Sus scrofa: one gene and its partners. The protein of the gene in region 5 purifies or fractionates together with the protein of the main gene of each other region. This does not show direct contact. Links are inferred from orthologs where the notes say so. Each region holds a gene or a part of one and is shown on either strand. Other genes may lie near its edges. The genes, in order: RBX1, MAP1LC3A, GABPA, FAM129B, KEAP1, SLK and IKBKB.

What was found.
Region 1: the proteins of KEAP1 (region 5) and RBX1 purify together in Homo sapiens (affinity purification with western blotting; 6 studies listed by BioGRID). This does not show direct contact. The link is inferred for Sus scrofa from reciprocal best matches to the Homo sapiens genes KEAP1 and RBX1.
Region 2: the proteins of KEAP1 (region 5) and MAP1LC3A purify together in Homo sapiens (affinity purification with mass spectrometry; 3 studies listed by BioGRID and IntAct, with this or other methods). This does not show direct contact. The link is inferred for Sus scrofa from reciprocal best matches to the Homo sapiens genes KEAP1 and MAP1LC3A.
Region 3: the proteins of KEAP1 (region 5) and GABPA purify together in Homo sapiens (affinity purification with western blotting; 3 studies listed by BioGRID). This does not show direct contact. The link is inferred for Sus scrofa from reciprocal best matches to the Homo sapiens genes KEAP1 and GABPA.
Region 4: the proteins of KEAP1 (region 5) and FAM129B purify together in Homo sapiens (affinity purification with mass spectrometry; 3 studies listed by BioGRID and IntAct, with this or other methods). This does not show direct contact. The link is inferred for Sus scrofa from reciprocal best matches to the Homo sapiens genes KEAP1 and NIBAN2.
Region 6: the proteins of KEAP1 (region 5) and SLK purify together in Homo sapiens (affinity purification with western blotting; 3 studies listed by BioGRID and IntAct, with this or other methods). This does not show direct contact. The link is inferred for Sus scrofa from reciprocal best matches to the Homo sapiens genes KEAP1 and SLK.
Region 7: the proteins of KEAP1 (region 5) and IKBKB purify together in Homo sapiens (affinity purification with western blotting; 7 studies listed by BioGRID and IntAct, with this or other methods). This does not show direct contact. The link is inferred for Sus scrofa from reciprocal best matches to the Homo sapiens genes KEAP1 and IKBKB.

What each region holds. Positions count from the first base shown.
Region 1 is NC_010447.5:7,504,865-7,508,364, forward strand, and holds part of RBX1 (E3 ubiquitin-protein ligase RBX1), read right to left. Parts: intron 3,150-3,500; coding exon 3,079-3,149; intron 253-3,078; coding exon 167-252; intron 1-166. UniProt on the Homo sapiens protein: E3 ubiquitin ligase component of multiple cullin-RING-based E3 ubiquitin-protein ligase (CRLs) complexes which mediate the ubiquitination and subsequent proteasomal degradation of target proteins, including proteins involved in cell cycle progression, signal transduction, transcription and transcription-coupled nucleotide excision repair.
Region 2 is NC_010459.5:37,956,365-37,960,005, reverse strand, and holds MAP1LC3A (microtubule-associated proteins 1A/1B light chain 3A), read right to left. Parts: upstream 2,177-3,641; 5' UTR 2,025-2,176; coding exon 1,985-2,024; intron 1,662-1,984; coding exon 1,606-1,661; intron 1,520-1,605; coding exon 1,413-1,519; intron 1,106-1,412; coding exon 943-1,105; 3' UTR 501-942; downstream 1-500. UniProt on the Homo sapiens protein: Ubiquitin-like modifier involved in formation of autophagosomal vacuoles (autophagosomes). While LC3s are involved in elongation of the phagophore membrane, the GABARAP/GATE-16 subfamily is essential for a later stage in autophagosome maturation.
Region 3 is NC_010455.5:189,303,013-189,306,512, reverse strand, and holds part of GABPA (GA-binding protein alpha chain), read right to left. Parts: intron 796-3,500; coding exon 550-795; intron 1-549.
Region 4 is NC_010443.5:268,024,523-268,028,022, forward strand, and holds part of FAM129B (niban-like protein 1), read right to left. Parts: intron 1,606-3,500; coding exon 1,477-1,605; intron 1-1,476. UniProt on the Homo sapiens protein: May play a role in apoptosis suppression. May promote melanoma cell invasion in vitro.
Region 5 is NC_010444.4:69,280,441-69,283,475, reverse strand, and holds the end of KEAP1 (kelch-like ECH-associated protein 1), read left to right. Parts: intron 1-724; coding exon 725-930; intron 931-1,218; coding exon 1,219-1,395; intron 1,396-1,805; coding exon 1,806-1,972; 3' UTR 1,973-2,535; downstream 2,536-3,035. UniProt on the Homo sapiens protein: Substrate-specific adapter of a BCR (BTB-CUL3-RBX1) E3 ubiquitin ligase complex that regulates the response to oxidative stress by targeting NFE2L2/NRF2 for ubiquitination.
Region 6 is NC_010456.5:114,947,463-114,950,962, forward strand, and holds part of SLK (STE20-like serine/threonine-protein kinase), read left to right. Parts: intron 1-737; coding exon 738-862; intron 863-1,380; coding exon 1,381-1,569; intron 1,570-2,141; coding exon 2,142-2,267; intron 2,268-3,161; coding exon 3,162-3,275; intron 3,276-3,500. UniProt on the Homo sapiens protein: Mediates apoptosis and actin stress fiber dissolution.
Region 7 is NC_010459.5:11,331,834-11,335,333, reverse strand, and holds part of IKBKB (inhibitor of nuclear factor kappa-B kinase subunit beta), read right to left. Parts: intron 3,330-3,500; coding exon 3,215-3,329; intron 1,809-3,214; coding exon 1,685-1,808; intron 1,148-1,684; coding exon 996-1,147; intron 575-995; coding exon 513-574; intron 1-512.

The DNA of each region.
Region 1 (3,500 bases), on a different chromosome or scaffold from region 5:
ATAGATGAGTCCTTGTCTAACTAACCAAGAGCTAGTTTATGAAACAAGGCAAGTTTCACGTGTCCATCTTTTAAGACCACGCGCCCGCCAAGCTTGAAGTGAGTCAAAGAATGGCACCAACCACAACACCCACCCTTACAATGTCAAAACAGCCAGAGACACCTACTTTTGGAATTCCCACTCTCTGTTGTCCAACGGACACACCTGCCGTGTTTTGAGCCAGCGGGAGATGCAGTGGAAGTGAAAAGCATGCTGGAAAAAAAGACAAATTTTATTAAAAATAATCCTGTGCAGCCTCAGCTATCTACTGACGATCCATCTCATCTCCAGGGCAGTAGGGTGGTTACACACGGGGCTGGAGAACAACGGGCGGTGACAAACAACAGGAGACAAAAGAGCCCCAACTGGCTATACCTTGGTTAGGTACAAGGCCATGTCCAATGAAACATCTGTTAGAAATGTCATTACTAGAAAGCATGGCGGATGTTCCAGCAGGGAGCTCTCTTCTCTTCTTTGTGTTTTTTTTTTTTTTTTGCTTTTTAGGGCAGCACTTGCAGCCATATGGAAGTTCCCAGGCTAGGGGTCCAACCAGAGCTGTAGCTGCTGGCCTACGCCACAGCCACAGCAAAGCGGTGTCCAAGCCACGTCTGTGACCTACACCACAGCTCACAGCAACGCCAGATCCGTAACCCACTGAATGAGGCCAGAGATCAAACTGGAGTCCTCATGGATGCTAGTCAGACTTGTTACTTGAGCCACAATAGGGACTCCTAGTAACAGTCTTGAGATCTGGTCAGTGTGTCTCTTAAAACATGCCTGGAACTTAAAGAATCATAATGTGGATTATCACCTATGAACTGTCCTTTGACAAAACAGAAGCAGAGCTCAGTAGGGAAGCATGGAGTCCACAGCCAGTACCCGGGCCACCAACAGGACAAATACTCCCCCAGAGCTGACAGCCTTTTGAAAGATCCCTCTCCTCCTGATGACCATACAGTACAAAAAAAGAGGAAAAAAACAAAACTTCCCAAAGGCAGAAAGCAGAGGCATTCTTCTCAGTCCCCAGGTGGCAGGGACAGGCGCACTCAGGCCACCCAGCCCCGGCTCCCCGCCGTGCACCCCGCAGCCGCACTCTCCCAGCCACCTCGGGAGATGGAGGCAGAGAGGGGCTGCAGGCCAGTGACAGCATCCCTCAGCGTCCCGGATCCCAGCCTCCTGCCCGTTAACAATCGAAGACCTAGTGATGGGTGCATGGAGCAGTCTCAAAATACACTGCCTAGCGCTTCACGGGAGACCTGTAAACATCTATGACCTCATTTGAGCCTCTGGCAACCCTGGCGAACAAGCACAACAGGTATTATTATCTTCATTTTACAGACAGAAAACTGAACCCCAGACAAGTTAAGTAACTTGCCTCATTCACAGGGTGGTCAGTAAAAGACCCAGAACTAGAACCTGGGACTAGTCCAGATGTTTCAAGCACACCTGGCAGCTCTTATTGGCAGGCTCTTTCCTTCCGGCACAAAGTGCCACGCTTCTTAGTAAACGCCTGGATGCCATGGAGAACACAGACCCGAGAGACTTTATTTCTTGGTCCCCATAAATGACAGACATTGTCCCTTGGCCAACAGGGGCTAATGTGAAACTGCCAAGGGGCCCTGCCGGCATTAGGAAGGTGCCCACGGGGTGTGGGCAGGGCTTCCACCTGAGGGAGAAAAGGACTGACAGGGACTCTCTCCTCAGGATCACCACCCCAACTTTAAGCTTATTAACAAGTACGCTCGCGACATGCACGAGGTGTTCTACGCACCTCTTCTTTTTTTTTCCTTTTTATGGCACCTGCAGCATATGGAAGTTCCCAGGCTAAGGGCTCCAATCGGAGCTGCAGCTGTAGGACTACGCCAGAGCCACAGCAACACGGGATCCGAGCCATGTCTGCGACCTGCACCACAGCTCACAGCTCACAGCAGTGCCGGATTCTTTAACCCAGTGAACGAGGCCCGGGATCAAACCCGCAACCTCATGGACAGTAGTCGGGTTCTTAACCCACTGAGCCACAAGGGGAACTCCCTCCAAGCACTTCTTAAGAATCAGTTCATCCTGATGCCGACCCTCAGCTCCATTTCACACGAGGCTTAATGAGGCCAATACCTCGCCTGAAGCAGCAGAGACAGGAAGTGGGGGTCTGTCTTCTTAGCCCTATGACAGGCGGGGAGCCCTCTGTCCCCTGGGCACAGGATGCCCGGACAGGACAAATTTAGCTCCTATGACTGGGACTACGTGGCTATAAGAATGAATTTTTTCACACTTGCTGGAAATAACATACTTGGTGTTTGCTGTCATTCACAGCTGTCACACCCTGGAAGGCTGGGCCTTCAGTCCAACGATGTTGCACAAACATTTCTGGCATGAGCCACATTGAAAATAACCCCAATCCCAACTTAGTACATTTGCCAAACTTAAAATACACACATAAACATGAACAATTTATTCACCTTAGTTCCACAAGACATCTAGCCTTTTAAAAATCTCAAGAAATTAAAGATCTCAGAGTTCCCTTCGTGGCTCAGCAATTAAGCAATTAACAAACCCGACTAGGATCCATCGGGATGCAGGTTCGATCCCTGGCCTCGCTTAGTGGGTTAAGAATACGGTGTTGCCGTGAGCTGTGGTGTAGGTCACAGACATGGCTCGGATCCCGAGTTGCTGTGGCTGTGGTGGAGGCCGGCGGCTGCATCTCCAAGTCAACCCTTAGCCTGGGAACCTCCATATGCCTCAGGTGCTGTCCTAAAAAGCAAAAAAAAAAAGGAAATTAAAGACCTCCACTAACAGGAGAACGTTGCTGACAAAAGTGGGTGCCCTTTAGAATGAATACTGACTCTGCAATAACTAGTAATTTTTACCTCGTAACAAGTGAAAGTACAGTGATTTAAAGTCTTTTTTATTATTTAACCATTTGTGTACCTTTTGGGAGAGAGGTGGACGAATCATTTTATTTTTCTTATTTTAAAGACTGGCAAAGCAGGGAAAGCGGTACTATGTTTACAAGCCATGCTGATAGGAAAGAGGTTTCCTTACGTTACAGACTCCCCACGCAACGGTGCACTCTTCAGAAGTAGCCGACGCCTGGTTGGCTTGACACTCTATGCCTGTGGGAACAAGAGCAACGAGATCACTGGACCCAGGCGCAACCACCTTGTCATCTACAGCTGCCCTCTCTGCACAATTGCACAACAACACGACTGGGGTGGCGGCGGTGGTGATGGCGGAAACATGAACAAAATCTCAAGTGGCTAATTAGTCATAATTGTTTTTTAATGAATGTGGAAAGGAGCAAAGACTAGAAAAGGCAGAGATCCGACTTAGCAGTGTGCTTTGCAACAACTTCCTACCCTCGTTTGCAAGTGGAGTAACAAAGGAAAAGGCACTTTTTAATTGTGAACATAACCTGACTTGTCCAAATGCAAGTGATTCCTCCTAATTTGGCAAATTTAGTAATT
Region 2 (3,641 bases), on a different chromosome or scaffold from region 5:
CTGCACGGACCTCAGGGGGCGAAAGGCCCAGAAGCTGGGCCAAGCCCTCTAGCCAGCGTTGCCAGCAGGCAAGCCCTGGGGCAGATGAGGTTTGAGTCCAGGGTCATGAATATCTGGCACCAGTGAGGAGCCAAGGCTGGCAGCAAGGCCTGTGGGGCGGAGCCAGGAGTCTCCACCTGGCCCCCACTGTGTGGCTCTGCACACCAGGAGCCCCTCCCAAGCAGGAAAGGGGAAGAAGCAGGTGAGCAGGGTTTGTTAGGCTGTGGCTACTTAATAAATGTTTCTTTTGTTATGAAAACGTCTACCTGGAACCATGCTGCCCTCGTGGAAGAGGTGGGCTTGGCCTCTAGTACCCCCACGATGCACTATACACAGGCGTGGGTTTCCTGAATGAGCCCTGAGTCCACAGCACACAAGTCTGTGCACCAGTGAGAGGACAACGGTGGGGGCAGCCCCACCCACAGCCCTCCCCACTCCCCAAGCAGCTGGAGGCAAAGGGCCAGGCAGGCCTGAGCAATCTTTATTCTGCAAAGGGACAATGACCACAGAGCCATACACCATGTCAAGACCAGGTGAGCCAGGACCCAGTCCTTCAGGGGTGGGCAGATCCAGGCATGGGCAGCGCCTCAGGTTGGGGAGGGACAGGTGGGCAGACAGGCAGGGGTCTAAAAAAAAGACAAACCACACAGGGCAGGGGTGCTGGGGGCTGCTTCCCACTCTTCCCCCTCCCAGCCAGCACCCGGAGGGGCAACCCTAATATGACTGGGCCAGAATCCATCCAGGGGCAGAGTAGGGGTGATAGGTGCCCTCTGGCTGGGTGGCAGCATCCCTGTCCAACCCACCAGGGGCAGGGGCAGAGACAGCTTAGTTCCAGTGCCAGGAGCTCCCTGGGCAGAGCCTGACAGGGCCCCCGACTCCCAGCCAACACCCCCTACTGCTGGCTCAGAAGCCGAAGGTTTCCTGGGAGGCGTAGACCATGTAGAGGAAGCCATCCTCATCCTTCTCCTGCTCATAGATGTCCGCGATGGGCGTGGACACGCTCACCATGCTGTGCTGGTTCACCAGCAGGAAGAAGGCCTGCGTGGGGTTCAGCTGCAGGCGGCGCCTGAGGTGGGCGGGAGGGCAAGCCAAACGTGAGGGGCCTGGCCGCTGGGTGAGTGTAGCCCTCACCCCCTACCCACCCTGACTTTGATTCTCCCCCTCACACCCATCCCAGCCCCTTCTAGAAGCTCTCACCTCTGACAAGATACTGATCCCAGGCCTGACCTTGACCGTTCCCAACCTCCCCAGAAGAGGGCTTCGGCACCCCGTCCCATGTCCCACCCCCACCCCTTCCTTCTCAGAAGGACCCAGACCAATGCCTGATCCCAGCAGGACCCAAGTCCCCCTCCTGACAGCTGCTGCCAGCGCACCGGATGATCTTGACCAACTCGCTCATGTTGACATGGTCTGGGACCAGGAACTTGGTCTTGTCCAGGACTGGCAGCTGCTTCTCACCCTTGTAGCGCTCGATGATCACCTGGGAGTGAGGTGGGGCGGGGACGCGTGAGCGGGAGGCTGGACCTGGGGCCAGGGGACGGGGGCGGGGTATGCGGTAGGACTCACCGGGATCTTGCTAGGGTGCTGGTCGCGGATCTGCTGCACCTCCTTACGGCGGTCGGCTGCAGACAGCAGTCGGGGATGAGGCCAGCCGAGGTTCTCCTTGGGTTCCGCCCCACTAGTCCCCGAGGGGCGGCCCCCGACCCCGCCCCGCCCCCCGCCAAGCCCCAGGCGGGTGGAGGTAGGGCCAGGGCCGGGGCACAGCACTGGGATGGGAGGCGGAGGCCCGGGCCCAGGCCCTAGCCTGCTTCCCAGCCCAGGGGTCCAACCCGAGCTTGACGTCATGAAGCTGACGTCACCTGCGGCAGACAAGTAGATCTGCCAACACCCCCGACCCCCCCACGCCCCCACCCCTAGCGCTCGCAGATCGCCAGTCGGGCCTCACCGAAGCTCCGCCGCTGCTTGAAAGGCCGGTCTGAGGGCATCGCACAGGCCCGGCGGAGCGCGCAGGCCGGGGCTCCCGGTCGCGCGAGGCGGGGAGGTGGCTGTGGTTTGGGGGCTCCGGGGGCTCCGCGTCTCCCGCTCAAGGGCTCTGGGGCTCGCGCTGAGCCCAGCGGCGGCGGCTCGGGGAGGTAACTCGCCCGGGTGACGTCAGGTCATAACATTCCTTAAAGGGGAGGCCAGCGCGCCGTTCCCATTGGGCCGACGCAAAATCTGCCCGCCCGGGCCCGTGACATCACGGCGCAGGGAGCCTGCATTCCCGCCCCCACCCCCAACCCCACACTGCGAAGGAGGGGAGGCGCCCAGTGAGCGTCACAGTCCTGTGACGTCACGGCCTGTGCAGGGGCAGGCGAGGTGGGCTCCCCCAGGCCCAGGGTGAGGGGAGAATGGACGCCAGCAAGGCCAGGGAGCAGGCTGGCTGGTCTGGCGGTGGGGAGAGCTGGCCAGGCTGCGGCATAGCATCCTTCTGTTTCCACTGTAACCAAGGCGTCAGACAGCCCTCGCTCAGAGTCTTTTCTGTTCCAGGGACCGTATGAGGCATTGGGGATGACAACAGTGAACCAGAAGTCTTCATCCTGGAGCATATGGTTAGAGAAAGAAAAAGGTAGTGGTCATTGTGGGGGGTTGGGTGAGCATTAAAACATGAAGACAGCAAGACACTGAAAAGGAACCTAGAGGTTTTAGAAGGAATTTCTAGAATTGAAAAACAGCTACTGAAATTCAGGTCTCAGAAGGACGAGGCAAGCAAGCCCTGTTAGATATAGCAAAAAAGAAAATCACTGAAGTGGATGAGAGAGCAGAAGCAATTACCTGGAAAACAAACCATGTTTACATGGTATAAAATAAGTGACAGAAATGGCAAAGTGAGAATTCACAGGTCTAATTAGCATTCCAGAAGGAGAGAAAAGACCGTGAAGCTCTGGAGAAAAACTTCCAAAATTGATTAAAAACCAGGATCCTCATATAACATCCAGAACAGAATAAATAAAAACTCATCTAGACACTCTGTAGTGAATTTGCCCAACTCTAAGGAGAAGAAATTAGAAAAATGGTAAGCTACTAAGCTGGTAAAATGGGAAGTGGATCTAAACAAACACCTGCTGTGGAACAAGAATGGTGCTGATGAGTCTGGAGCATAGCACAGGAGCATGGCACATGTAGGACTGGGGAGGGGGGTCAGAGGTCAAGTGTTTTAAGAAGCTTGATTTATTGGAGAGGAAGAGGATAAAGCTAACTGATAATTACCTGGCTTTGTATAGTCAAGTATGTATTTCAAACACTTCAGAGGGATCACTCAAAGAATAGAAAGTATATGTCAATGCATAAAAGAGAAAAGTTTAGTAAAGGGTATTAAAAAAATGTAATAGATAGAAAAAGAGAAAAGGGAAAGCAAAGTGAAAAGAATGGTATATAAATGGTACAAAACCAGAGGTATTAAATGTTTTACATTCACCTGTTAAAACAGATGAACAAATTGGCCAAGAAAAATAAAATGCAGCTCTGCTGTTTACAAGAGGACATTTAAAACCTAAGGAAATCAAAAGTAAAAAGATGGGAAAAAGTATATGAGAGAAAAACTAACCAAAAGATATATTCATAGC
Region 3 (3,500 bases), on a different chromosome or scaffold from region 5:
TCAATCAAAAACGGTTCTATAATGCTACAGAATAATCCTTCCCCACTCACTGTATGTTCTCATGCTCACGCACAGCATACTCCCACGTCTCAGCTTTGCACATACATTTCCTATCTGGAAGGTCGTCCTCTGCCCAACAGTTTCCTTGTCTATAATAAACCCCCAACTTCCCCCCACCGCCCTGCGCCCAGGCCATTATGATCCCTTTGAGACTGTAATTCTCAGTTTCCTTTATACCGGTTATTGATAGCTTAAAAACATGTTATCTTTATGTCAATTATCTCCTTTCATCTATCTTCTTGCTCTTCAACTACACTGTGAACACTTTGAGAGCAAAATTTTTTTAGTATGTTTGTATTCCCAGCACCATCACATATACAGACCCAAACCCCCCAAAAAAACAACAGCAAAAAAAAAAAAAAACAGGAAAATCAATATATTACCTAAATATCCTGCATCTAAAATAGATAACTTACTCACCCTAGTGTTTTCTATGTCAAGCTTAATTCTTATTATTCTCCCTAACATCATTATTATGTATTTTATTACCATAGGGTATCCCAAGACGTTCTTGCTCTTTCCTATAACCCTCAAGTGCAGCAGCCCATCGTGTCACTTGTTCTGAGGTTTCATCTGAAATAGTTGTAATGTGTTTTGTGCCATCAAGAGTTATCACTTGAGCTTCCTCAACAAGATGTGCTTCTGCTTCAGCATGGTGGGCATCTGGATCAATAACTACTTCAACTGTTTCTGCCGGTTTAACAATTTCCAGGATGTTTAGCTTTGGTTCGATTCCTTAATAGTAAATTGGAGAGAAAATAAAAAAGCATATTTAAGTCAGAACATGAATGAAAGTCACTAACAACATTTAGATTAGTTTATGTGTTCATACATTCTCAAATGGTAGAACAAAACCCATTTTAAATATTCTTGGCACTATGTCTAGACAACTTAAAAGATGAAAAAAAAAAAAAAATGAGAAATCTGTTATCTTCCTAGGGCTGCACCCGCAGCATATGGAGGTTCCCAGGCTAGGGGTCGAATCTGAGCTGCAGCCACTGGCCTACGCCACAGCCACAGCAACTCAGGATCCAAGCCGCATCTGCAACCTACATCACAGCTCTTGGCAACGCCGGATCCTTAACCCACTGAGAGAGGCCAGAGATCGAACCCATGTCTTTGTGGATGCTACTCAGATTCGTTAACCTCTGAGCCACATGGGAACTCCTTAACAGATTTCTATTAAATGATAAAAATAACAATTCAACAGAACTTTGGTAGATCAGATAACAGTATTATATAAACATTAATTTCCTTATTTTGATAATTGTGATCATATAAAAGAATTCCTTGTTTGACATTCCTGGCACGGCTCAGCAGAAATGAATGATTAATATCCTAAGGACACAGGTTCGATCCCTGGTCTCGCTCAGTGAGTTAAGAATCAAGTGTTGCCATGAGCTGTGGTGTGGGTCACAGATGTGGCTCAGATCTGGTGTTGCTGTAGCTGTGGCATAGACCAGCAGCTACAGCTCTGATTCAACCCTAGCCTGGGAACTTCCATATGCTGCAAAAAAAAAAAAAAAAAAAAATTCCTTGTTTTTGGAAACCACACACACCACTGTATTTAGCTAAAGAGATTGTGTCTGAATCTTATTTTTATTTTACTTTTATTTATTTACTTATTTATTTTTACAGCTGCCCCTGCGGCACATGGAAGTTCCCAGGCTAGGGGTCGAAAGGGAGCTGCAGCTGCAGGCCTACACCACAGCCATGACCACATGGAGGCCAACCTGCATCTGCAGCCCATGCCACAGCCTGAGGCAATGTCAGATCCTTGATCCACAGAGCGAGGCTAAGGATCAAACCCACATCCTCATGGAGACTACACTGGGTTCTTAACCTGATGAGCCACAATGGGAACTCCAGTATCTTATTTTTCAACACGTCAGAAAACTAATGTGAGGATGAAGGGGAGAGAGAATAAAGCAAGTGTAATGAAAGTTAACATTTGGGGAAGCTGGACGAAGGACATCCAACAACTCTTTTACTACACTTGCAACTTTTCTCTACGTCTAAAACACTTTAAGACCCCCACCACCACACATGCACACATACATACACACCCCATTGACAAACACCAGTAAAAAAAGTACCAGTGTAGAATAGAAAATAAAAACTAAACCAGAGAGGGCAAATATGAGTAGCTACCTAACTTCAGAACTTTAAAAAGTCTTTCTAAGCAAACTAAAATTATTTATTGACTGCTTTTTTTTTTTTTTTTTTTCCTTTTCTAGGGCTACACCCACGGCATATGGAGGTTCCCAGGCTAGGGGTCTAATTGGAGCTGTAGCCGCCGGCCTACACCACAGCCACAGCAACACAGGATCCGAGCCGCATCTGTGACCTACACCACAGCTCATGGTAACGCCGGATCCTTAACCCACTGAGAAAGGCCAGGGATCGAACCAGCAGCCTCACGGTTCCCAGTTGGATTCGTTAACCACTGAGCCACGACGGGAACTCCTTGACTGCTTTTCCTTTAAGGAAACAAAGTACATGTTTTGAAAATAAAGACACTGAATTTAAGTTAAATTCACATCATTAAATTCTCATTTTCGACTGAAGAAAAACCCAAATCCTTAGGATATTTAAAAGAGAAAAAACTCTTCTTTACAAAATAACCTCAGATACTTAGGTTAAAATGACAGCTCTAAGAAACTATCATACAACTTAACAGCTAATGTTTGCTCACTGATTCAGTTACAATCTGTATCAAAAGTTAATTTAAGTGCTTTGAAAGAAAAAACAAAACTCAAGTGTAATACTGTGAAGTTCAATCATAAAAACAATTCAATTCAATTGTGGAACCAGTATTATAAGAAAATATACTGTTATCACTTATTAGGTAATATAAAAGAAATCACTTTTTTTCAAATATACATGAAAAAAAATCATAATTTTTCAGAAAAAAAAATTTCCCCTAAACCTCCATTCAAATTTCGTCAACCATTCGTAAACGCACTTGAATTGAGAGGTCACTAAGCTTTTAAAGATAGAAAAAAAGACTGATTTTCTTTCTTATTTCCAACAACAGTAAATCCTGGGGAAATTAAGGTGGATAATTACCATTTTCATAATCTGAACAAAACTTTGGTTGGAGAAACATAATTGTCAGCAATATAATACATTCAGAGATTAAAATCAGTCTAAAACTCCAGTCAGAAATTTCAAAGGCTCATTTTAAAAAACTAAAACTCAATGTACCAAAAATGGTTTCCTAATTTTCTATCTTGTGTACTTACACAGATTTGTAAAAACACTGTGAGAGATATGGCTCACTGGGTCACTCCATACCCTTGGCAAATTCCTCTCTCTGTGCTAAGCTACACAGACTAGATTGCTTTGCAGACAGGATTCCAGGTGTGATTTAGGCATGCATCTTCTATTTGGAAATGAGCTAAGAGGGGACAAGCATATACATGGCATCCATTTTTTGG
Region 4 (3,500 bases), on a different chromosome or scaffold from region 5:
TATCACCACGGCCGCTCCCACTGCCTCTACGGTCAGCAGCCACCACTAGCTGCGTGTTCATCACATACCAGGCACAGGGCCCCACGTGCTTCACTTCACAGAGTTCCCATGATCCAGAGGTGGGGCCCATTCTTAGCCACAAATTCACATAGTTGGGAGGCAGCCCACCTAGGACGTGAACCTGGTCTGTCAGCCTCTAGAGCCCAGGGTCTCTGACCCTTAGGAACTGTCCACTAACTTCCTAGGTTCTGAGCACCACACAAGTGTTCTCCTTGGGAGGAAGTTAGGTCTGGGCACTGCTTTCTTACACCAGTGGGGAGAAAAAAATGGTTCTGATGTGGGAGCTCATACAGCATGGCTGCCATGCTGCACCCTGCCACTAGGTGTCACTATTCAGCACTTTTTTTTTTTTTTTTTTAGGGCCACACCTGCGGCAGATGGAGGTACCCAGGCCAGGGGTTGAATCAGAGCTGTAGCCTCCAGCCTACGCCACAGCAACTCAGGATCTGAGCCACATCTGCGACCTACACTACAGCTCACGGTCATGCCAGATCCTTAACCCACTGAGCAAGGCTGGGGATCGAACCTATGTCCTCATGGATACTAGTCGGGTCTGTTACCCCTGAGCCACGAGGGGAACTCCTCAGCACACTTCATGAGGGGTTGGCACCTCCACCACCATGATTTTCCACAGCAGCAACAGCACCCTGGCACGTGTTAGAAAAACAGATTCCTAACTCTACTCCAGATGTGAATCAAACTCGGGGCGGGGAGCTCCTGCTTCTTAACGAGCCCTCCAGGTGATCTTGGTGCTTGAGAAGCACTGCCCTGGGGCCTTAGATGACTTCTGACTCTGCTCATGTTACTGTAACAGGGATTTGCCTCCAAACACAGGGCACTGAAGCCTGTCCTTTGGCTGCTCTGGAGAACTGTTTGGTCGAAAAATTGGGGTCTGTGGCTCAACCAGGTGGGCTTCACCAAGGGCCCGAAAAGCAAAGGAACAATCAAAGGACATAGCCTCCCATTGCAGGGCAGGGGGTTGCGGGGGAGCCAGTAAGGAAAGAGATAGGACCGCCACCCAGGGGTCATCTGAGTGGGGACTGGCCAGCGTGCTGTGGCTACTGAGGAGCGAGGGAGGGGGCTGGGCGGAGGAGAGCCCTGGAAACGGAGCCATCTCGAGGGACCTGGGGTGGGCGGGGGTCCATGATGAGCTGCTTACAGAGCGAGAGGCAGAGTGAAGGGTGACCCCAGAGAGCTGGGTGTCAGGATGGATGAAATGCCACTTAGAAGGAAGGTTTGGGGAGGCAGGAAGGGGGTCGGGGAGGGTGCTGAGATTCTGTTTTGGGCCCTGGCACCCGCCAAGGGAGGGCGGAGGTGTGGAGTCTTAGATTTAGGGGCCGGGGGACCGGGGGAAGAAGCAACCTGCCGGGCCCAGGAGGAGCTGGAGGCTCCGTGCGGCCGGGCCGGGGGCCTCACCACTTTGTTCTCGTACAGCACCAGCCCGTAGTTGTGGGGCACGAGGCTGAAGCGGTTCCTCCACTTCTTGTTGTCCTCCTGGTACTGGAAGAGGTTCCCCGAGAAGATGATGCGTTCCTCCAGCGGCACCTGTGAGAGGGGAGGGCCAGGGATGAGGCCCAGAGTGCGAGTGGGGGGTCCTCCGAGGAGGTGAAGCCTGGGCGCTCACCCCCTGCTGGGCACACCCCACCCCCACCTCAGCGAGCCCCCTCACCCACCTCCGAGGCAGGGCGGCATCTCACCCCTCGGGCAGATGAGGAAAGTGAGGCTCGGGCAGCGAAGGGGGTCCAGGTAGGGCAGGGTTGCCGGCATGTGCACCCAGGCCCAGCACCACAACACGGGACTCAGACAGGACCCCACTCGGTCCTGGCCCCAGGCAAACAGGGAGCCCAAGCCACGCTGCTCCCCCATCCACCCCCACTGCGGCGTGGGTGGTCGCTCCAGCCGGAGGGGACATGTCCACGACCCAGGACTGGGAAGACCCCAGCACCTGAGCACTTCTCTTCCCAGCTCAGTCTGGAGGGTTCCCACTGGACCTGCAGCCCAGACCTTCCTGCAAAGCCCTCGCTTCGACGCTCCCTCTGACTCAGTGTGACTGTCACAGCACCTCTCTGGGCCTCAGTTTCCTCATCTGTACAAAGGGAGCAGTGACGGCACGGACCTCACCAATGTCATCTTGAGCAAAGGGGACACCGCTGGCACCTGGCAGGCAGCACGAGACTCGGGGGCCCCACGACCACGACCCACTCTGGCGCTCCTGTCCGTCAGTCTCCGGCTCCTTGGACTGACTTATTTCGGGAAGGGGAGGGGGTGGCCGTGCCTGAGAGCGTGCTTCCTGAGCAGACAGCACCAGGAAGCTTCAGGAAGGAGATGCCAAGGCCACGAGGGAGCAGACTTACTCCTGGACGGGAGGAAGCCGGGGGGTCAAGCTCCTGTTTCTCAGCAGCTTCTAACTGTCCTACAACAAATAGGGTGGCTTTTGCAAAAAGAAACACGTCTCATATGTAATAAAGGGAGGAGGGATTATTTTAGTGGTGCCCGACCCTTCCAAGCTTCCTGCCTGGCTTCTGGGTCTGCAGGGCAGCAGGAGGCAGAGGTGGGCGGCCCCTCCCAAGACTCCCCCACCCCCACCCCTCAGCTCTGTCTCCTCACCACAGCCTCCCGCCACTCTTCAAGGGGAAATGCCAAAACATTCTTGGAAAATGAGGGCCTATTGTGCTCAAACAATGAGACCCGAAGACTGCTTCCTACCCGGGGATAAAAATATTTACAGGAAAAGAAAATGGTTCCCCTACCAGGAGCCCCCCTCCCACCCCCAGTGGGCTTTGCCCAAGTCACAGAGCTGGGCTCCGTGGTCTATATTTAGACTGGGGCCTACTCTCAACCCAACTCTTGAATCCCTGGCCCTTCTAGAAAGAAAGCAGAGCTCTCACTACGCCCTGGTCAGACCCTCGCTGCCCCCAGGCCCCCGGGTCTGTGGCCGCCCCTCTGTCTAGAGCCCGAGCCCAGGGCCCAGGCAGGCCTTCCCGGGGGAAGGCCCCCCAAGTCCACCCCCAGGCCCTGGAAGAGGCCCGCAACGGGTGGCTGGTTGTGGGTTTGGGTTTTATTTTTAAGGCTTTCAAACGGCAGAGTCGTATTTCCACTGGAAGCCCTGCAGGAAATGAAACGGAACCCGACAGCCCAGGCCAAATATTTTGGACTCTGCAAAGCTCTCGGATGCCCCGACGGGCCTCTTGGGTGGGAGGCGAATGGCTGGAGCGCGGGGCCCCGGGGCTCCCGTCCCGGCTCCACCGGCCGCCCCACTGGAGCCCAGACAAGCGACTCCCTCTCCATGCCTCGGCGTCCACCCCTGTGACAAGGACATGCTCTCAACCCCTCGGAGCAGTGTCAAGACGGCTGGAGGACCAGCGCCCACGCCACAGGATGGCTGTTTTCCCTAGTTCTTACTTTCAACTAATACAGTTGTATTATTATTTCTAATAAAA
Region 5 (3,035 bases):
CCATAGGATACCTGGCATTGGTGGGTTTGGAGTAAGGCCAGGAGTGGGAATTTTTAATACACGCCTCAGACAGAGGGCTCTAATGTACATAGTCTTTGAATAGGACAATAAGATGATGCATCACCCTCAGCAGGCCACTTTCAAGATAAAAGGGGCCCTAGGAATTATTCTAGGAGCACAGGCCTGAACTGAAAATGCCCCAGCCAACTGGGATATATGGTCACTCCATCTTTGACCATCATAATTTGAGAAGAACCATGCCAGGCTGTAGCCATGTTGTTAGAACTGGGGTTCTAGTGTTCAAGAAGGCTGGATCACACCCCAGCTCTGCCACTTCCTTGGTGACCCTGGGCCTGCCACTTCACCTCTCTGTGCCTCCGTCTTGTCATCTGAGAAGTAAGGGACGATCATGAGGACTGACTTCGCCACCACACTGGATGGTCTTTGGTGAGATGACACACGTAACACTCAGTACAGGGCCTGGCGGTGTTGTGATGGAGCCATTGGGGTCCAGCAGATGTACGTGTGACCTTGAGCAGATGGTGGCTATGAACCTTAGTTCTCTTATCTGGAGAAGGGACCTACTGATAACTTGTGCCTGAGGGAATCCTTGTGAGGATTAAAGAGTTCAAGTGCCTGGAGGCCTAGCAGAATCTAAGTGTGGGGGGGTCAGTGTTCCTGGTTAGCAGTGGTTGCTGTTGTCACTGTTATTATGTCCTTGCAGGTATGAACCCGAGCGGGATGAGTGGCACTTGGTGGCTCCAATGCTGACGCGAAGGATCGGGGTGGGAGTGGCTGTCCTCAACCGTCTGCTCTACGCAGTTGGGGGCTTTGACGGGACAAACCGCCTCAACTCAGCAGAGTGTTACTACCCAGAGAGGAATGAGTGGCGAATGATCACACCCATGAACACCATTCGAAGTGGGGCAGGTGGGCGGGGGCTTCAGGGAGGGGAGCCAGGAGACACACCCTCTCACCCCTAGGAGTGAAACTTGGCCAGGCCACTTGTCTCAACCTTGAACCCTGTGGCACACACAGGAGAGCTAGATTCTGAGAGTCCAAGCTCCTCTGTCCCAGCTTTGTTTTTGAAGGTTTCCTCAGAAGAGGGGAGAAGGGAGAGGGAAGGGAGAGGGGAGGGTCCCCCCGACCCGAAAAGGTGGTGGCCGGGGCACCCTAGGCCAGGCCCTGGAGTCAACCTCTCTGTGTGGTGTGGTTTAGGAGTCTGTGTCCTGCACAACTGTATCTATGCTGCGGGGGGCTACGATGGTCAGGACCAGCTGAACAGTGTGGAACGCTACGACGTGGAGACAGAAACGTGGACTTTCGTAGCCCCCATGAAGCATCGGCGAAGCGCCCTGGGGATTACTGTGCATCAGGGAAGAATCTATGTTCTCGGTGAGGCCCTGGGAGTGGGAGTCTGGGTGGAGAAGCCCATCTAGCCTCATCTTTTAGGGGCAGGCTCAAATCATGGTGGGAAAGAGTTCCATTTGTGGCTCAGTGGTAACAAATTCGACTGACTAGTATCCATGAGGATGCAGGTTCAATCTCTGACCTCACTCAGTGGTTTAAGATCCGGCTTTGCTATGAGCTGTGGTTTAGGTCTCAGACATGGCTCGGATCCCGTGTTGCTGTGGCTGTGGCATAGGCCAGCAGCTGCAGCTCCACTTCGACCCCTGGCCTGGGAACTTCCATATGCTGTACCTGTGGTGCCCCCACCCTCAAAAATCCTGGTGGGAGGCTTCTCGTGGTTTCTCCCTTTCCCCAGCCTTCGGAGGGACTGACCATCCCTTTTACTCTTCTGGCAGGAGGCTATGATGGTCACACATTCTTGGACAGTGTGGAATGTTATGACCCAGACACGGACACCTGGAGCGAGGTGACCCGCATGACATCCGGCCGGAGTGGGGTTGGTGTCGCCGTCACCATGGAACCCTGTCGGAAGCAGATTGACCAGCAGAACTGTACCTGTTGAGCCACTTTTGTTTCTTGGGCAAAAAAAGGGTCAGATCAAGAGTATTATCACTTTTGTATCAAAACAGGGACAAAAGAAAAAGCTACAGAGCAAAGGCTTGTCCTCCAAGATAGGAAGCTGGGATGCCTCAGTGTTAAAACGACAACTCCAAAGGCCAGAGTGGGAACCTGTGAGCCTGTCAGAGTGGTCCCAGGAATGTCTGGGAGAACTTGCCTGGGAGGTGGGTGCAGGAAGGGCGGGCCCCCGGAGAGAGGCCCCCAAACCCACTACCCCAAGACTGGGCCTGGGTCCTACACCAGCAGCCACCACCTCCCTTTGGGATGAAAGCAGGTGCCGAGGACAGACTGTTTTTTTTTCCCTGCAACTCTGTGTTTGGTTCCTTGAGGCCTGGGAAGGAGCCAACTGAGGCCTCAGGGGCTGAGGCCCCTTCCTGCTTAAGGACCCCAGGGACGGGCCTGTACATAGAAACCACTGGATATCGCTGCCCTGGACAGTCATTTTGTTGATAAGTAACCCTGTAACTTTCCAATGAAAATAAAGAACAAACTAACTAGTGTCTTCCACTGGAGCTCTCAGCTGGAGGTCTTGAACCCCTGGGGGCAGAAAGGACTCTTCCTCTGAAATGTACTGAAGTCTTTGATTTAGGGCTTGGATTTGAAACCAGTTTGTTATCTCTGCCCATTGAACTTTTAAATGTAGGGCATCTTTCTCCCCATAGGCAAGCCACACAGGGCTTGCTTTGTCCATCACTTTTAGCTGCTTTAAAGACACCTACCTAACCCCTTTACACATCTCCTAGGGCTCCCTGAGGTTAATTTCACATATGCACAGTGTATATTTTCACAGTTAATTTTTTGGCCACGCCCTCAGCATGTGGAAGTCCCCTGGCCAGCAGGGATCAAACCCAAGCTCCTGTTGCAACCTGTACCACAGCTGCGGCAACACTGGATCCTCGCTGTGCCACACGAGAACTTCCTCACAGTTAATATTTTAAGGCAGACCATCCCCACATGCCTCCCAATTTGTTGAAAGTATCCTTATGCACTTAAGTAACATAGACTTT
Region 6 (3,500 bases), on a different chromosome or scaffold from region 5:
GTGTATATGTGAAATATCTCCAAAACATTGCAGAGATATACCTTGGAAATTATTTGAATGTTTTCCTTTGCTAGAGTGGTAGAGGGAAAGATAAAGTTGAGGTAAATAAGAGAAAGATGCTTTATAAAATTGAGAAATACTGCAAGAAGTAGAATTCTTTTATGGCAATAGAAGTGAATATAAAAATAATCCTTAAAACATCTTTCTGTCCAGATGATGCTGGAGATATACCTAAATAATTTTATGTACTCATTATGCTTTGTGATATTGGTATACTTAGTTGGCTACATGATAGAATGGAAATTTAAGCACTTATTTCCCCCTATTAAAAAACCTTTGATTTTCTTTTCTGTTCTTCTTTTTTTTTTTTGGCTGCACTCGTGGCATGTGAAAATTCCTGGGCCAAGGATCGAATCCACACCACAGCAGTGACCCAAGGTGCTGCAGTGACAATGCCAGATCCTTAACCTGCTGCGGTAGAGGAGATCTCCTTTTTTTCTTTCTTATTAAGATGATTAAATGTAATTTTGGTATTGGGAGTAGGACATTCTCTTTATAGGACATTAGAATAGAAGGGATATTATGTTTACATTGGTAATACTTCATTTATAGTTCAGAGTGTAATGTGTGTAAAAAATAGTGTATTAGAACACTTTTGTGTGAATATTAAAATATAACCCAAAGTACATTAGTAAAAGGAACAAGGTAACATTTTGAAAATTACTTTCTTCTTGTAGCTCGAGAAGCTGCGATTTGGGAGCTTGAAGAACGGCACTTACAAGAAAAACACCAGCTGCTCAAACAGCAACTTAAAGATCAGTATTTTATGCAAAGACATCAGCTACTTAAGCGCCATGAGAAGGTTAATGAAAGGAAAATTTGTTCACTTTTTGTTCATTTTAAAGTTTGCAGAGCTATTTATTTCTGAAATATTTCTTAGAGAATAAATTTTAGATTTCCTTTCTTTTATCCTAAAATTTCTTTGATGCAATTTGGAGTAATTACTTGTATATTGATCATGACTGTAAATTTCTTTTCTACAAATTCCAAGGAAGGTAACTAATTACAATGCTTAAAGACCTATTATACACTATAATCTTTTTCTTGTCTTTCAAAAGTAGCTATTTTAGCTCCATTTATAGTTCAGGTATCTTAAAAATGTGGACTCATACTTAAAGAAAGTCAATATAAGACTCTTATTACTAATAGTTCTATTTTTATTATAAATTATTTTTTTGTGTAATATTTTGCTGGTCAGTATGCAACAAGAGAGAAAGTCATTTGGGGAAACAAAGGCAAAATGTTATTTTTAAGCATACATGTGGCTACTGAGTATTAAATTTTATCATTGTCACTGGATTCTGTTTCAAATTTTCTTAGGAAACAGAACAAATGCAGCGATACAATCAACGACTTATTGAGGAATTGAAAAACAGACAGACTCAAGAAAGAGCAAGACTCCCTAAGATTCAACGCAGTGAAGCGAAGACTCGAATGGCCATGTTTAAGAAGAGTTTAAGAATTAACTCAACAGCGACACCTGATCAGGACCGCGACAAAATTAAACAAGTAAGTAAGCAAATTGCTCTCTTCTCTTTTAGGTTTGAAATTTTTAGATGGCCTTGCCACACTGTTTTGATTACTGTGGCTTTGTAGTATTGCTTGAAGTCTGGGAGAGTTATGCCTCCGGCTTAGTTTTTGTTTCTCAGGATTGCTTTGGCAATTCTGGGTTTTTTGTGGTTCCACATAAATGTTTGGATTGTTTGTTCTAGTTCTGTGAAAAATGTCATGGGTAATTTGGTAGGGATTGCATTGAATCTGTAGATTGCTTTGGGTAGTATGTTGGCCAGCTTTTTAGTTAAACATATGGTCTCACTATACTTCTGCAGTCACAGGGCCCACATAGAAATTAACTGAGGTCACTAAGTAGTTGGGAGGTACAAGGATTTAATCAGAAGTCTCTCCCTACCCCCGACCAAAGCCATGATGTGGACTGCCATTTTAAATCCCAGAATATTATTACTTGGAGCTTTAGTTTATTATACTTTAAGCTTTGTTAAATTCCATAATTATACCTCTGGAACATGCAGACATTATATTATTTGTTAATCATATTTATCTTTTGTTTTTCTTATTTGTAGTTTGCCGCTCAAGAAGAAAAGAGGCAGAAAAATGAGAGAATGGCTCAGCATCAAAAACATGAAAATCAAATGCGGGATCTTCAGTTGCAGTGTGAAGCTAATGTCCGTGAACTGCATCAACTGCAGGTTAGATCCAAAAGCGGGAACACAAAGCTGGTCGTAGATGCACAGCACAGATGACCGGTTTTGAGGAAGTAATAGCTACGCAAAGTAAGCTGCAGCTTGCTTGTGAAGGCGGGGTGATTTAAAGGTCTTCTTTCTTCTGCAGACCCAAATGAAGATCAGTTGTTGAGATTTTATATAACTGTGATTAATGTAAACATGAAGCTAATTTATAATCCAAGAAGTGGAATTTTTCAAAAGTACTATTGGGAATTTTTAGTGTATTTTGCAGAGAAGATGAACAGAGTTTTTTTAAATGATGAAGGCAGTTTTGTTAGATTCTAAATTTAAAATTTCTTTTTATCTAGGGAGAAAGAATTCATTTTCTTCAAAGTTTTTGGAAAAAGGGATAATTTCTCCTAAGGAATTTAAACATTACTTTAGAGAGGACTGTTTTTGAACCTTACCTAAGTATGCAGCCCGTCTTATAGACAGATAGATAGACAGCCTAAACTGTTTACAATTTCAGAGTAGTGTCTACATTGTGGATATTCTATGTATTTGCCTAATTTACTAGAGCAGAATGACTTCTTGGGGTAAAATCCTTGAAAGGTGCCCTCTCTAAGTAAGGTGTGTCAGTTGTGTAAGTAAACCTTCTTAGAAAGGGAAATCAGGCTCAAACTAGTTCTTTCTATTCAAGATCTTTTCATGTGGTAAATAACAGATCTAGCCTCTAAACTTGCAAAAATAAAGCAGTGACTCATTTCATAATTCTTGGCCCTTGATTTTTAGAGGAGAATTTCAACCTCAGTAATAGCCTGATGTTTGATGAGTACTTTATTATTTTGAAAGATAATTGTGTTTGTGAAAAATTGACAACTTGATCTGAAATGTTTTTAATCCAAACTTAATTTTCAGAATGAAAAATGCCACCTATTGGTTGAACATGAGACTCAGAAACTGAAGGAGTTAGATGAGGAACACATCCAAGAATTAAAAGAATGGAGAGAGAAATTGAGACCTAGGAAAAAGGTAATTTTAAAAACTTTAATTAAGATATGCTTGTGAAGTTCCCATCATGGCTCAATAGTTAATGAACCTGACTATTATCCATGAGGATGCAGGTACCATCCCTGGCCTTGCTTAGTGGGCTGAGGATCTCGCGTTTGCCGTGAGCTGTGGTACAGGTCACACACGTGGCTCGAACCCTGCGTTGCTGTGGCTGTTCTGTAGGCTGGCAGCTGCAGCTCTGATTAG
Region 7 (3,500 bases), on a different chromosome or scaffold from region 5:
CTACACCACAGCTCACAGCAACTCTGGATTTCTTTTTTTTTTTTTTTTGTCTTTTTGCTATTTCTTGGGCCGCTCCTGCGGCATATGGAGGTTCCCAGGCTAGGGGTCTAATCGGAGCTGTAGCCGCCAGCCTAGCCAGAGCCACAGCAATGCGGGATCCAAGCCGTGTCTGCGACCCACACCACAGCTCACGGCAACGCCGGATTGTCAACCCACTGAGCAAGGGCAGGGACCGAACCTGCAACCTCATGGTTCCTAGTCGGATTCGTTAACCACTGCACCACGACGGGAACTCCTAACTCTGGATTCTTAACCCACTGAGCAGAGCCAGGGATCGAACCTGAGTCCTCATGGATACTAGTCAGGTTGGTTACCACTGAGCCACACTGGGAACTCTGGAAAAGCTAATTTCTGATATGCAAGCTCGACCCAGGGTTCAGTGAGAAAGAGGAAGATGGCAGTGAAGAGCCTGGTACCCTGGGCAGGGCCTCGGACCTGGGGGCCCTGCCTACCCGTCCGCAGAGCTCCACGGCCTGTTCCATCTCCCTCCAGGCCAGCAGCAGTTTGTCCGATGCTGGGGGAAAAAAGGAGGGAAAAATGAAAAACAAAATGAAAACACCCCCACCCCCACAATCCAAAACAGAGATAAGCAACTCAAATAGGAGAGGACAAAAGAAACCTCAGAAAAAGAAAAAAGAAAGAGACTGTCCCTCCAGACTTTTTTTTTTTTTTTAGGGCCATACCTGAGGCACATGGAAGTTCCCAGGCTAGTGGTCGAATGAGCTCTATAGCTACCAGCCTAGGCCACAGCCACAGCAGTGTGGGATCCTAGCTGCGTCTATGACTTGCTCAAGAACTCACGGCAACACTGGATCCTTAACCCACTGAGCGAGGCCAGGGATCGAACCCTCGTCCTCATGGATAGCAGTCACTTTTGTTTCCACTGTGCCACAACAGGAACTCCCCTCCAGACTTATTGTAAAGGGCACACTCACTGATCCCAAACTCTGTCTGCTCGCTGTACTTCTCCAGGTCAATCTGGATGCTGGTTTTGAAGAAATCAAGCTTGGCCTTGAGCTGCTGGGACATGGAGGCCATGGAGTTCTTCATCTTGGACAGGCAGCTGTTGTTCCGAAGCAGATTCATCCTGCAGCGGCCATGAGAAACGGAAGCTTGGGGCGCCTGTGGGATCTGAGCGCCACTTCCCGTACAATAACAAAATGACCCGAACACCACCAGCAGGCTCTGCTATAATTAGCATCATTATAATAAGAGCAGCCACTTATAACCATAAAGTCAGTTTCCTGGCTCTGAGCAACGCCTGGGGTTCTGCTTCAAAACTGGAACTAGGCAAAGTACACACAGAGTGGCCCAGAGAAGCCACATCCTGGGGAAAGAGCGAGCCAGTCCTGGAACGACGGCAGGGGAGGGCTGATGACCCAAACTGTCGAGGGCTTCCCGGTGGCCCCACTTACACTCCTGCGACTGTGCTGAGTGCACACACCCCACTGGGTCTCACAGGGCCTTCCTCAAGCATCCCCCTGACCCTCGCCGGGCCAACCCCTTCCCACCTCCCCCACCCTATGTCTCTCTCCCAACAGTTGGACCCCTGCCTTGGCCATTGCCCTGTGGCAGGGCCACCAGGCAGCTCTGAATAAGCAAAGCCCAAACCGTGGGCACGTACATGGCAGCACGCTGTCCCTGCTGCAGGCGGCTGCAGTCTTCCTTCAGGGCCTGGATGCTGTGCCAGACCTGGCCCCACACCTTCCTCAGCTGGAAAAACGGGAGGTTCCGCTTGGGCTCTTGCACTGGACAGAGACACATGACTGTCAGGGAGCCATGCCGGTGACACACCGCATCCTGCCTGCGGAGCCCGGCCACTGCCACGTCTACATCGCTAGGTTATGTAACCGCTCTGCCCTGACACGACTGTGTCGGGTATTAGGCTTGGTTACTGTCTCAGACACCCTGTGCCCTGTGCCATTTTGATTTACAGATGCACAGGACATGCGGAAGGTAGACCAGGAATCTGGGAGCAGCGGTTTTCCTGGAAGAGGCCACGGAACTGGGGAGACTGGGCAGGAGGTGGGGGGGCTTACTGTTCAGTGTATATTCTTTTTTTTTCTTTTTTGGCATATGAAATCCCCAGGCCAGGGGTCGAATCTGAGTGGGAGCTGACCTAAATCACAGCTGCAGCAACGCCCGGGCTAGGATTGAACCTGTGTCTTCACAAAGACAAGCCAAATCTTTAACCCATGGCACCACAGCAGGAACTCTCACTGTATGTTCTGTGCGTTTTGATTTGTTGGTATCACGTGAATGTTTCATCATTAAAATATAAAATGGGAGTTCCCATTGTGGCGCAGCAGAAATGAATCCAACTAGTATCCATGAGGATATGGGTATGATCCCTGGCCTCGCTCAGTGGGTCAGGGATCCAGAACTGCCATGAGCTGTGGCATAGGTCTCAGACATGGCGTGGATTCCGGGTTGCTGTGGCTCTGGCGTAGGCCAGCAGCTGCTGCTCCGATTAGACCCCTAGCCTGGGAAGTCCACATGCAGTGGGTGCGGCCCTAAAAAGAAAAAAAAACAAATTAAAAAAATGGCCACGTGATTCAAGTTCAGCGGCCTGTGGGCAGTATTCTCTGTCCTCTGTTTTTTTGTTTTGTTTTGTTTTTTGTTTTGTCTTTTTGCCTCTTCTAGGGCCGCTCCTGTGGCATATGGAGGTTCCCAGGCTAGGGGTCTAATCGGAGCTGTAGCCACCGGCCTACGCCAGAGCCACAGCAACGCAGGATCCGAGCCTCGTCTGCGACCTACACCACAGCTCACAGCAATGCCGGATCGTTAACCCACTGAGCAAGGGCAGGGATCAAATCTGCAACCTCCTGGTTCTAGTCGGATTCGTTAACCACTGAGCCATGACAGGAACTCCCTGTCCTCTGTTTAAATGAGGCTGAAATCAACTGAAGATCGATGTCCTTTCCTCTTCGCTGGGCCACCTCCTCATGTGTTCTAACAAAGAAGGCCTTCTGGATCCCTGACCCACTGAGTGAGGCCAGGGATCATACCCATATCCTCATGGATACTAGTTGGATTCATTTCTGCTGCACCACAATGGGAACTCCCATCTTCTGGCGTGGGGGAGTCCCGAGGTCCAGGGCTTATCTCAAGCACTCTAAGTGACTATTTTTTTCAAAGGCCATGCCATTCTTACGGATGCAGCTGACGCTTTCGGGCTGGGGCCGTGGGGAGATCTGGGTGTCATAGGTGACTCTGCTGTTGTCAAAGAGGAAGACGAGATCCATGTCCAGGGTGCGGCCCTCGTTCAGCTGCAGAGGGACAAGAGCAAAAGGGGCTCTTGGGGACCCATCTCCTCCTTTTCCCAGGGGCCAGGGGACAGGCTCCAGAGTGGCCCACCGGCATCGCCCTCAGCCAGCGCGGCACCCACAAAGCCTTCTTACTGACTTCGGACTCAACCCCCTTCCGCTGCTCCTTTACAC